Caenorhabditis elegans: one gene and its partner. The protein of the gene in region 1 purifies or fractionates together with the protein of each later gene. This does not show direct contact. Each region holds a gene or a part of one and is shown in the gene's direction. Other genes may lie near its edges.

Evidence for each region.
Region 2: the proteins of rrf-2 (region 1) and glb-12 fractionate together in Caenorhabditis elegans (co-fractionation; one large-scale study listed by BioGRID). This does not show direct contact.

The regions. Positions count from the first base shown.
Region 1 is NC_003279.8:12,099,846-12,107,693, reverse strand, and holds the start of rrf-2 (RNA-directed RNA polymerase), read left to right. Parts: upstream 1-1,581; 5' UTR 1,582-1,630; intron 1,631-1,706; 5' UTR 1,707-1,716; coding exon 1,717-1,821; intron 1,822-2,374; coding exon 2,375-2,533; intron 2,534-2,593; coding exon 2,594-2,878; intron 2,879-2,939; coding exon 2,940-3,062; intron 3,063-3,104; coding exon 3,105-3,251; intron 3,252-3,507; coding exon 3,508-3,681; intron 3,682-3,744; coding exon 3,745-4,011; intron 4,012-4,070; coding exon 4,071-4,598; intron 4,599-4,643; coding exon 4,644-4,823; intron 4,824-4,869; coding exon 4,870-5,232; intron 5,233-5,291; coding exon 5,292-5,403; intron 5,404-5,462; coding exon 5,463-5,920; intron 5,921-5,971; coding exon 5,972-6,173; intron 6,174-6,231; coding exon 6,232-6,503; intron 6,504-6,830; coding exon 6,831-7,010; intron 7,011-7,055; coding exon 7,056-7,191; intron 7,192-7,322; coding exon 7,323-7,848. Other genes in the region: M01G12.14 (Decapping nuclease), read left to right, coding at 1-69, 124-311, 355-630.
Region 2 is NC_003280.10:10,729,122-10,733,340, reverse strand, and holds glb-12 (GLOBIN domain-containing protein), read left to right. Parts: upstream 1-1,688; 5' UTR 1,689-1,778; coding exon 1,779-1,817; intron 1,818-1,963; coding exon 1,964-2,230; intron 2,231-2,289; coding exon 2,290-2,375; intron 2,376-2,446; coding exon 2,447-2,546; intron 2,547-3,074; coding exon 3,075-3,302; intron 3,303-3,355; coding exon 3,356-3,436; 3' UTR 3,437-3,537; downstream 3,538-4,219. Other genes in the region: mks-5 (Protein fantom), read right to left, coding at 4,091-4,173.

The DNA.
Region 1 (7,848 bases):
TTCCACGTGGCAATGAGCACCCTTACAGTGTTTTGTATTCCGGGGAGATGGATGCCATTTATGATGAGGGTAAGGTTTTTTAGATTCTTTTTTTTTAGAAATAAATTGATTAAGAATCTTCAGAAAGTCGCGAGCACGTGGAGCTGAAAGTCTTTGTAAATGGACTAGACAATTACAAGTGGAAATTCAGAAGTTGCTGGATGTACTGGCAAGCCTTCTTCTCGAATGTTCCAACACTGGTTATTGGATCAAGAACGGGGAAGGAGTATCAGTCGATTTCAAAACATATTCCCGGATTCTCGTTGTACAAAGTAGGTTCCTTTTTTTTTAATTTTTGCAAACGTTCAATTTTAGGTTGAAAAACTGGAACGCGATTCGATTCCTTCAACGGCAGCAGCGAAACATGCTCAGCGAATGGGAGACCGCCCGTTCCCACCCAAGATCTGGTCAGTTGCCGCTGGAGAACGACATCTTCGTGTATTCCTGCAATTGGTCAAGGAAACAGCAATTTCTGATGGAGATTGCTTCGTTCTCTCGCGAAATGGTGAAAGATCCAGGTGGATAATCGAGAGGGATGAGGAATCGGTTGCGGAATTCAGAAAAGTAATTGTTAAGAGTATGCCAAAATAAATGTTGATTTCTAAAAAAAAGGAGGAAGTTTTTATCTGCATTTTTTGAAAAAGAAATACGGTCGCAAGTATTTTCTCAATTTTTGCATTTTTCAGATAATATGTAGCCAGTTGATTTTTAGTATTTCAGAAAGCACCGAGACCACGTTGTAATTGTATTTCAACAAGTTTTACTAGTCAATTGAGACATTTTTGACAGTTTGCCAAAGTTTCAGAAAAATAAATAATTTATGAAAAATCTTTTGATTGGTAATATAATAATTTTGGTCTAAATATTTCATATTTTTTAAAATAGTTGTTTTTCTTATTGGAAACATCTCAGATTGTTCCCAAATAGTTATAAGAATAACATTATATATTTTTAACTCATATCGTTACAGAAAAAATTTTGTTACTAGATAAATTTTAGTTTATTTTCAAACAAAAAATTTGTAAGAGGATTATTCTTCTTGTCCGTATTTTTTCCTCTTTTATCAATTTTATCGGTAAAAACACAATTATTTTTTATACCTAAATTTTTTTCTTCGCGAACATTCTCGCCTTGCTCACTCTTATTCGGATATTTCGTAATAACAACGTATCCTTAGCGTCTCTTAGCTGTCTGCGTCTCCGCTGTTCAGAACAGAGGTTGTTTCGAATTGTCAAGCAGTTGTTTTTCTTTCATTTTATGTTCGCGCACGTGCTCGCTGGCTGTCTTAAAATTCACGTTTTCTCGCGGACGAGAAAACTTGAGAAATGTGAGAAAATGGCCTAGAAAATCCTGGAAGAGGAGAATTCCTTGTCCACAGCCAAAATAGCGTGTGAAAAAAGAGACGCAGACGGCAAAACGGCTATTCTTTGCGTTTTTCACGTCCAGAGAAAAAAGTAGTATCTGCGTCTCTCACGCCCAATGGATAGCGAGAGTTGGCGCCAACGTGAATTCTCAATGAGGCGCTTTTGCTTCAAAATTATGCAAAAGGACAGCCAGCGACCACGTGTTCGCGTTACACTAATTGAATAAAGTGAGTCAAAAGTGTTGTTTTTTTTTTTACATTTTGGCTACAAAATTGAACGGTGAAATTACTTCTCGTTTTGCAGGCCTTTCGTTATGTCGGGGCAAAATGGGTCTATCAGGCTTGAGTTTCCGGAATTTGACGATTCCATAGATAGGATCGAATATGGTATCGAAATGATGTTAAATAGTGTTCCTGCGGTAAGTCACGGGCTTAAATAGTTACTACTGAAGTTTGAGAGGTTTGAATAACATATTCCAATTTTTTAAATTTCATATATTTTTTAGAAGTATTCATGACTTTTAAAGATTTTTTTTTCGATTCTATTAAAAATTTCCTAAACTCTCCTGAACTAGTTTTCAACTCCGTTTCAAAAATGTTAAGTTGAAAAATTTCTAATGATTTTTTTCAACTGAATTTTAACCTTAAAATTTTTTTTCTAAAGCATTTAATATTTGAAATAACCGAAAAACTTTCGTTGAAAATTAACATTTTAATTTCTTGAATTTTTTTTCCTGAAGACATCGAATTTTAATTTTGCGCCAACATTTTTTATCAAAGTTTGATGTACACCACAGAGCGCATAAAATGTCCAATTTTCCGGCAGTTTTTCCTTAAAAATTTGAATTTCACATGAAAATGTTTGGAAAATTTAAATTTGGGATTTTCCGCCTATGGGCTTGTAAGTTTAGAAGCCTTCAAAAACAGGAGAGATTTTTAGTTGAGAGACAAAACAAATTTTTCTCATTTTAGATTCTTCAACATCACAAAATCGATATCAAGAGTCGTCATGAGATGGAAATTGTTGAGGAACAAGACTGTGATTCCTTCTTTGAAGTGAACTATGACGTTGCCAGTGCTAAATTTGATCAAACTATAATAGATGCGATGAGGGCCTATTTATTCAGTTTGGTAAGTGATTAAATTCTAATTTTTTTTGCAAAGAAAACCTCCAAAAACTCAAGTTTTCAGAATGCAAATTGGCCACGGCCTTACATCGTTCTTCATGGTTCGGATTTTTGGGCAAAAACACTAGATTGCTATATAGAGGTCCCATTGGCAGCAATGTATTTTGGAAATATTCAAGGATACACGTATATCAGTCATTGGCAAATTTCATTTTCTGGCAAAAAAATATCGGCAGATGCGAATGAGCTTCTGAACAAGATAGTTGCCGAATTTGAATTCGATAGGGCTGATATGATAACTGTGACGTTTCAATGTTTGAAGAGGAAGAGAATCAACTATCAAACTATTGTGAGTAATCCTCTACAGTAACCCTACAGTACCCCTGCATTAATCTTGTCACCTATTTTAGATCCGAAAGGACACGATTCGTCGAATTATCGTCGATCCTCAAGTTGACATGAACAAGACACGTATACATTTCGAACTCAATTGCCCACCACTCATTAGACAAGGATCTGTAGATGATGATAAGGTACAACTTTTACTGCTACACAATTAATGATTCTATTTTTAGCCATCGACTCAAAAGCCTTTCTATAAACGTACAAATCGATACAGTTGCATTGGGACGAAGGAGTACGGTTCCCCACATGAGTCAGCCATCTCTGATAGTCCATTCTTCACAATTGAACTGCAAAAACAGGAATCGGATGGGAATTCGGTAAGTTGAATGTCATTTTTTGAATGTCAAAAAATCCATGTTACAAAATTGGACGAAACACTAGCTTTGCAGATTGACAAATGTCTTTTGAAAGTTAGAAAATTTTATTTTGTTGAAAGTTTAATTAAAGGGTATTTATGTAAAACTTGACCAATGGGGTCTAGGTAACTTTTAACCAAAAATCAGCAGAAGCTTGGACTACATGTTAGCATTAAGGGTTTGCTAAAATTTGATCTTACTGAAGTTTAACTTTTAGGGAGACTCGAATGATACGCTATATCGTGTACTTTCTCGTCTACGCTCTCGAACTGGAGTCCAAATCGAATTTGCAAATTTTCCAAAAGTCGATGTTCCGATAGGCAAGGTCTATCCATATTTAAGATATCCGACCAGCTCGAAATCATATGCATTCGAATGCTTCATATATAACGTGAGTGAATCGGCTAACAAATGAATCTAATCTTAACAAATGGCAAAGTAGCAATGCTTTCAGTGTTTCCCTTCAAAGATGAAAATAATAGACGCCCAATCAATTAATGAGAATGACGGAAGACAATTTGCAATCACATACCTAATTGAATGCCTATTGTCACGGGGAGCTATCGTCAAAGATCAAGTACTTACAGATGAAATATGCTGGGGGCAGTTCTTGGGTCTAATTACTCACTACTACCTGGAAAATGATAAGCTTTGTGAAGCTGCACTTGAAGATCTGATTTATTTAATTGATGGCAGAAAGCGGATTGGATCAATTTGGAAGGTGGGGTGTTTAGCTTAGGTCTCTTTTACCCATTCGGAGACCCACAAACCATTTTTCAGTGCTTTCATAAAATTTGCCAAAAACGTCTAGTAATGCAGCTGACGAATGGTATGTCAGAACAAGAGATCGAAGAAGGATATCAACGAGTCCGAAAAGTGATCTTCACACCGACAAGAGTGATTTATACTCCACCCGAGATGATTATGGGGAACCGAGTACTAAGAAACTTCGATAGAGATGGAACTCATGTGCTCAGAGTTACTTTTAGAGACGATAATAATAGAAAAATGCGAGCGAATGCAACTGGCGAACTACTTGACATTTGTGTCAAGAAATACTTGGAGCACGGAATTGTAGTGGCAAATCGGGATTTTGGGTTCTTAGGATGCTCGAGCTCACAAATGAGAGATAATGGTGCATACTTTATGGTTAAAAATACAGATAATCGACATAAAAACGCATGCAAAATGAATTCAAAGTTCAAACCGAACATTGATTCAGTTCGAAATCAATTGGGTAATTTTTTGCAAATCGAAAATATTCCGAAGTTGATGGCAAGATTAGGTCAATGCTTTACTCAGAGCAGGGTAAGTGTTGGAAGCTTTAATAGTTAAAGGGCCTATCACTTTCAGCTTACTGGTGTCAGCCTAGGACCAGACAACTATTGTTTGACACACGATCTATCGGGCGGAAGATCATCAAATGGAAGCGAGTACACATTTTCTGACGGAGTCGGAATGATGAGCTACGAGTTTGCTCAAGAAGTATCTCGATTGATGTCATTCGGAAGATCCGTTCCAAGCTGTTTTCAGGTAAGTGGTTTTGGCATGCACGCCTACAATAATTTAATGATTCTAGTTTCGATATCGTGGAATGAAGGGTGTTCTTGCCATTGACCCGCTTTTAGACAAAGAACGTAATTGGCAGGAGAAGCATGGAATCTCATTGTCCAAGAATATCAAGTGTGTGTTCCGTCCAAGTCAAATAAAATTCGAGGGCAAGCAAATTCTCGGAGACCAAGTGGAAATGGTAAAGTACTCGTCGCCGGTGCTGGTTGCTCTCAACAAACCATTAATAAACATTCTCGATCAAGTTTCCGAAATGCAGTCATTAGAATGTCATCGGAGAATAACGAGTAGGATCGAGGAATTGATGGATTTGCAGACACTTTCATTTGCCAAGCAGATGACGGATGAGGCATGTTTTAGGAACAAGCTGAAGGTATGTTGCCTGCCTACGTTAGCCTTCCAAGTACCTTCCAAGTAGATAATCTATTTCAGGAGTTTCCCCGTAGAATCGATATTGATTACTTGAGAACAATTTGGGGATTCACATTGTCCAATGAACCATTCTTCAGATCCCTTGTCAAGGCGTCAATCAAGTTTGCTATCAGTGAGTTTTTCAAGTTTTTGAAACAGAAGTTTCATGCATCATGTTAATTATGTTTTCAGCCAAACAACTGTTCAAAGAGCAAATCCAAATACCCAGCGAGCTTGGTCGATCGATGCTTGGCGTTGTCGACGAGACTGGGATTCTACAATACGGACAGGTCTTTGTTCAATACACGAAAAATCACAGGAACATACTCCCACCTCGAGATTCCAATCGGAAAGTTCTCGGTAGTGAGATTGTTACTGGAACCGTGCTGCTCACTAAAAACCCGGGCATAGTTCCCGGGGATGTTAGGATCTTTGAAGCCGTCGACATTCCAGAACTTCATCACTTGTGTGATGTAGTTGTATTCCCACAGCACGGTCCAAGGCCTCATCCAGATGAAATGGCAGGATCGGATTTGGATGGAGATGAGTATTCTGTCATTTGGGATCAGAAATTGCTACTCGAGAGGAATGAGGAGGCGTTTGACTTTGCGGTGGAGAAAAACTTACAGACATACGAGTGGGAAGACATTGTAATTTTTGATTTATTTGATGAGCATGACTAACTTCAAAATTTAATTCAGGACGACTTGATGCGAGATGTCTATGTCGAGTATCTCAAAAAAGATTTGGTAGGGTTGATCGCGAACAGCCATCTCCACAACTCTGATCAGTATGGATTGACTTCAAGAGTATGCATGAATTTGGCTAAGAAAAGCTGTCAGGCCGTTGATTTCTCAAAGTCTGGAAAACCCCCAGATGAGCTGCAAACAACATGGAAGACTGGTAAGTGGTGGTATAAAAAACAAGCTGTTTTTCGTCAAACTTATCTCTAAACTTTTAGATGACGCCACCGGTGAGATGATCCCACCGGAACGAGCCGAGAGAGTACCTGACTATCACGTGGGAAGCGATCATATGCCAAAGTATGTCAGTCCAAGACTATGTGGAAAACTGTTCCGAGAGTTTCAAGGAATTGATAATGCCATGAAGATCTCTGAAGAAAAGTCGGAGCAGTATAAGATTGAAGTTGACGAGAGTATTCGTGTCGATGGTTTTGAGGAGTATATGGAAGACGCAAAGAAGCAGCTGGCCAGTTACAATGGGCAGTTGAAGGTTAGTGGGTCTTGGAACGAAAAGGCTCGACTTCGGCAGCTTAGGATACTTAGCTGCTCCATATAGCAGCTGTGGATTACTGTAGTTTCAGTGAACACCAGTTCTAGGAAACAAATGATTCAGTAGGGTCTCTTCAAGCTATCTGGTTTTTTCTAGAGCTCTACTGTAGTCCTACAGTACCTTTCTTCAGATTTCGAGCTGGCAGAGGTACTGTTACAGGACTACTGTAGAAAATTGTTTACTACAATAATCCTACATTGGTGATTTCCTAGCATCTTGTAGGGTTACTACAGTAAGACGGGATAGACTAACTATAATAATTTTCAGTCCACAATGGATACATACGGTATCCAGTCTGAAGGTGAAATCATGTCAGGATGCATTATTGAAATGAGAAATCGAATTTCGGACTCGGATCAAGACGATATGTCATTCTACAACACTAATCGAATGATTGAGACGAAAATGACAGCTTTAGTGTCCAAATTTAGAACTATTTTCTTCCAGGTAAAAAAATCGGTCTAAGTATACACCTTTACTGTTTTTTTCCAGCAATTTGGCGGATTCCAAGAAGTTTGTACACTCTTGCCGGATGCTTACAATGAGAGCAACTTCTTTAATTTCCGTTGTGAGAATCCGAATGAGGAGATTAGAAAGAAAGCCGTGGCTTGGTATCGGGCTTGTTATGGTAAGTTATGGGATTGGGTTTAGGCTCAGGATTAGGTTTAGGCACAGTGATAGGTTTAGGCTCACGCTTAGGCTTAGGCTTTGGCTTTGGCGGGACATACACTTACTCAAACAATAACTGTATTTTTATAGAGTGCGCCAAATCCACTCGTGAACCTCGGAAGCTTTCATTCGCCTGGATTGCATATGATGTCATAGCCAAGATCAAAGAAACTAAAGTTTTGGAAAATGTAGAAATGAACATTGGCGGAGCAAATCCCATGTACACTTATCTAGAGCATCACAGAGCACGATACATAAATGATCACGTCGATGATTTCGAGAAATTCCGCAGGAATTTAGACAATTTAATCACCGGCAAGGAATCGAAAAAAGCAGTTTTCATTCTGCAAAGATACATTTACATGATACCTGGATTGGATTCGGTGATGTTTGTGCTGATGCGATGGGGAGAAGCATTGGAATTATTTGAAGGAAGATCAATGAGTATTTATCACTTTCTCCTCATGTTCATCATGTTTTCAACTGGACAGCTAGCATCGGCTGACGGGAATGCGGAACAATTCTTTGGGAAACTTGATGTGGAAGAGTATCGGAGAAGAAAGAAAAATGGAACTTTAGAGCCAGATATTCCGCTTACTAGGCATCAGCGGTCGGA
Region 2 (4,219 bases), on another chromosome or scaffold:
AAATCAACAAAAAAAATTCCTGGAAAATTAAATATTTCTCTTTTTTTTTCTTTTTCAATTTTTCTTGGAAGTCAGAACTTTTGGAATTTGGAGAGCGGCAAGCAAAGTGAAAACAATCAAATTTCTGATCAAAAACTATAGCAAAACTATCTAGTTGAGCATGAGAATTGATTATTTTCTGCAATGCGGGTGCTTGAATTTGAAAGATTGAATTGTTTTCTATACAAATTTCAGACTATTTTTGTTCATGAAATCTGCAGTTTTAATATTTCCGATTTTTACAAATTAACTGGAAATTTCTGAAAATATTCATGCTTCAATTTTTAGATATTTTCAGATATTCTGGGTGTCAAAATGGACATAGTATTCGTGTATAACATGTTCTCAGCTTTTAAAAAATATAAATTTCAACCCAAAAATCGCAATTTCATTTTTTCTCCATTTTTTTGGAGGCAAACGTCCACTTTGGTTTTTGAGAGCGGAGAACGATTTTGGAGATTAACCAACATTTCTGATAAATTCTTTAAAAATTCAATTGTGGACTTAAAATACCGTGGTTTAACAAAATTTGAAGTGAAAATGTTTAAAAAAATTAAATGGGCAAAAATCAAAAATTTGAGAAAATAACCAGAAACTAGGAAGCCGGTAGACCATGAATTGCTACTGCCGTTTATAAATCTGCCCCACCAGCAAACTATGTTCCAAAATAACTTGAATTCAAACTCCACAAATTTTGTCCCGTTCCAGAAATCTTTGATCCACTGAACTTTTACGTGCACCTGTTACACTTTTCCCGCCGGATCTTGAGTTCAAGCTTCTAACAAGTAATAAAACAGCCTACGTATAAATACATTTATAACATTAACATTCGAAAAACCAATAGTTCACCTACTTCCTTCTCTTCCCTTATTATTTCTTGTCAGAACTCTCTACTATAATTTCGCAGTTTTTTGTCACTTTGTTTATCCCACTTCTTCGTATTTTTCCCTCTTCTGCCTTCTTCTCACTTTTTTAAAGCAATCATTTGGTTATATTCATACTTTCTATAAGTTTTTGGGAAGAAGAACACTGATTTTTGATATGCGTCTTTTCTTTCGGAAAAGATCCCCGAGAAAACTCAAGTCTAGTCTCAGATTTTGACAAATTTAAGTGTTAAGCTGACAAGGAAAAGTTTCGATTTTTTTAAATGTTTCATCGAAAATTAGGATTTTCAAAAAAGCTCATTTTAATAGGTCCCCACAAAAATTATACTGCTTGGAAGCATTTTAAACAAGGCAAATTAGATTTAAAAGATTTCTCAAAATCTACAGTTTTTTATTATGCTTTGGGTCATAGGAAAAGTTTGAGATCTTTTCAAAACAAAATTATTAACCCTAAAAAATCTAATTTTTTCCACAATGAATATGGCTAAATTTTCAGTTAGGATTTATTTGATTTCCAAGATCTAACTGGCCATTTCCACAATTTAAGCCAAAATTCAAATTAGTTTTCAGCCTTGTGAACGCGAATTTATGTTGCTCTGTTCCCCGTCATCCCATAAAAAATCAGCCGTCTTCCGTTTTATGACTACTTCAACACACAAAAAATCCAATCATCATTCCATTGCCACGTCATAATTGAGGCTTATTCAATTTGTCTTCTTCATGTTTACTCACTCCTTCTCCTTTTTCAGAGTCTTTCAATTTCAAATTTTCAGAACATTTCCTGATTGAGGTGATGAGAAGTTGTGCTTAAGATTTTTAATAAAACAAGTATCGTTATAAATCTATATATTTTCAATGGGTGCCACATTATGTGCACCGAAAAAGAAAAAAACCGTGAGTTTTGAGCTTGATTCGGAAGATGAACATTTCTCAAAAATTTTTGGATTTTTTACATTCTTTTCAAAAAAACAGTACATAAGAATAGAGAACTACAGTACTCTTTAAAGACGCACAGAACATTTTAAAAAATTATTTTCCAGCAAGTCGGAGCATCTTGGGTCGGAAACGAATCTGAAAATCCATTTGACTTAGCCCTCAATAAAAAAGACCGTACTCTGTTACGTGAAACTTGGCAAAGGCTAGATGATCCGAAGGATATTGTTGGTCTTATATTCTTAGATATTGTCAATGATATTGAACCGGACCTCAAGAAAGTGTTTGGCGTGGATCGGGCTCCGCGAGCCGCGATGCTGAAAATGCCGAAATTCGGAGGGCATATTCTAAGATTCTATGAGTTCATGGAGCAGGTTAGCTGTCTAAACTACATTTTTAAGAGTATTTTTTGAACTCAAATTTATTATTCCAGCTCACGTCAATGCTTGGCACGTCTGAAAATCTGACGGGTGCATGGCAATTGGTACGAAAAACGGGAAGAAGTCATGTCAGACAAGGGTAAGTGCGCAGGTGCAAATGCCGTCACTTTGTATGATTATATAGTCCAATGCCATTTGATGATTTTTCAGTTTCTTGGAACAAAATCAGAACCAGATGGAGAAGAACTATTTCGAAATTGTTATAAATGTATTTATCGAGCGATTAATTCCATTTCTGACGGGTGAACAGGTGAGATTGTGGGATCAGTTAGGTCAAGCTAGTTTGAAAGTTCAACTAATTGATTTGTTGGAAGGTTTATTTGGAGTACAACTCAATCAAATTATTTTCTAATAAAGGAATTAATTGAGCTTGATTTCTGAAAAAATCTATATAATTCGAAAAAGAAATTTTGCGGTCGAGAAGCATTTTGAAAATTTTCCCGAACGTAGATTAGGATGTTTGTGAGCGAGGAAATTACTTGAGCTGTTTTCAAAAAAATGTTTGTTTTTCTTTTTAAAAAAGGTGCAATTTTTGATCCAGTTGGGCAAAATAGTTGCGGGTTTTTTCAAAAAATTAGAATAATATTTTCAAATAAGTATTTTTAAATGTTACTTCAGATCGGATTTTTTAGTTCTTTGTGATCCTCTTCCTATAAATTCTTGTAGATACCTATTCGAAATAAGATTGTTTAAATTAAATTGGTTTTTTTTTCTAAAAAAGTTCATAATCTCCCCTCGTAAAACAAAAAACCTTTTCACCCAACAAATATGATTTTAGGAGCTTCCATCATCAGAAGGAAAAGAGAACAAAAAAGTGCGATTTGCTCAAAACTACACCACATCTCAAATCACAGACGTCTGGAAGAAGTTCTTAAACACAGTAATTAGTCAAATGACTGACTCATTTGAATTGGAAAGAGCAAAACAGAAGAGTGCACAAACAACAAAAGCCTTGGCTCCACATCAACATATCGAGATTTCGGAAAGGAAGAAGAAGAGGGTGGCGGTATGTTATTAGTTGATATCATACATTTGTTAATTTGATATTGGCATTTTCAGGAAAAACAAAGCGAGATTGAAAATACGGCAGTTTCAAATGAACCAAAAGCTCAAGAGCAAATGTTCGAAGATCCATTCTGAAAGTATATTTTTATAGTGATATACCATATAAAACATATTGACACTGAAAAAACACTGATAAATAAAACTGATTAAATTTATTGAATAAATGATTTTTTTTTGATTTTGTAGCACATTTAATGCACAAAAATGAGCTAAGCTTTTTTTGCTATTGCGTCACACAAAGACATGCAATTTTGGAGACAAAATAGCATTGCTGAATTAGGTTTAGATACATTTTTATGTGAATTGAAAGTCAGAGCCAATTACGTTATAGGCCGATTATTTTTCGAGTTTATGTATATGAGGTTTTATCCTCTTGAGGATCTATTCCATTTCGGTAAGAGGATTCAAAAAAAGTCAACTAACAAATCACTAAAAATTCAAAATACATTTTTCCGTCGGCAACATTTTAAAATCGTAATTATTTTGCCAAGATATGATAGTTACCTAAGCGTTTTTTGTGCTGTAAGTAGGACGTCAAGTTTGAAAATGCAAATTTCATTTTTCACCAATTTTTCAAACGATGTTAAAAAAGAGTATAGAATATTGCTTAGTTTGCTCTCCAGCAACCACAATTCACGATACTGAACAAGTTTTTTTTTAACCAAAATATTTATTAATTTGTTGAAAATATAATCTAACAAATTATTTAAACCGTATTTTTCAATTTTCTCAGGTCAATTGTTCAATTAATGCTCTTGAGAAATGCAATGTCAATGTCATCTCGGCTTGCACAATTCCACTCCGATCGTAAACTGAATTTGAATTCAATTATAAGAATGAGATACTTACGACAAATGA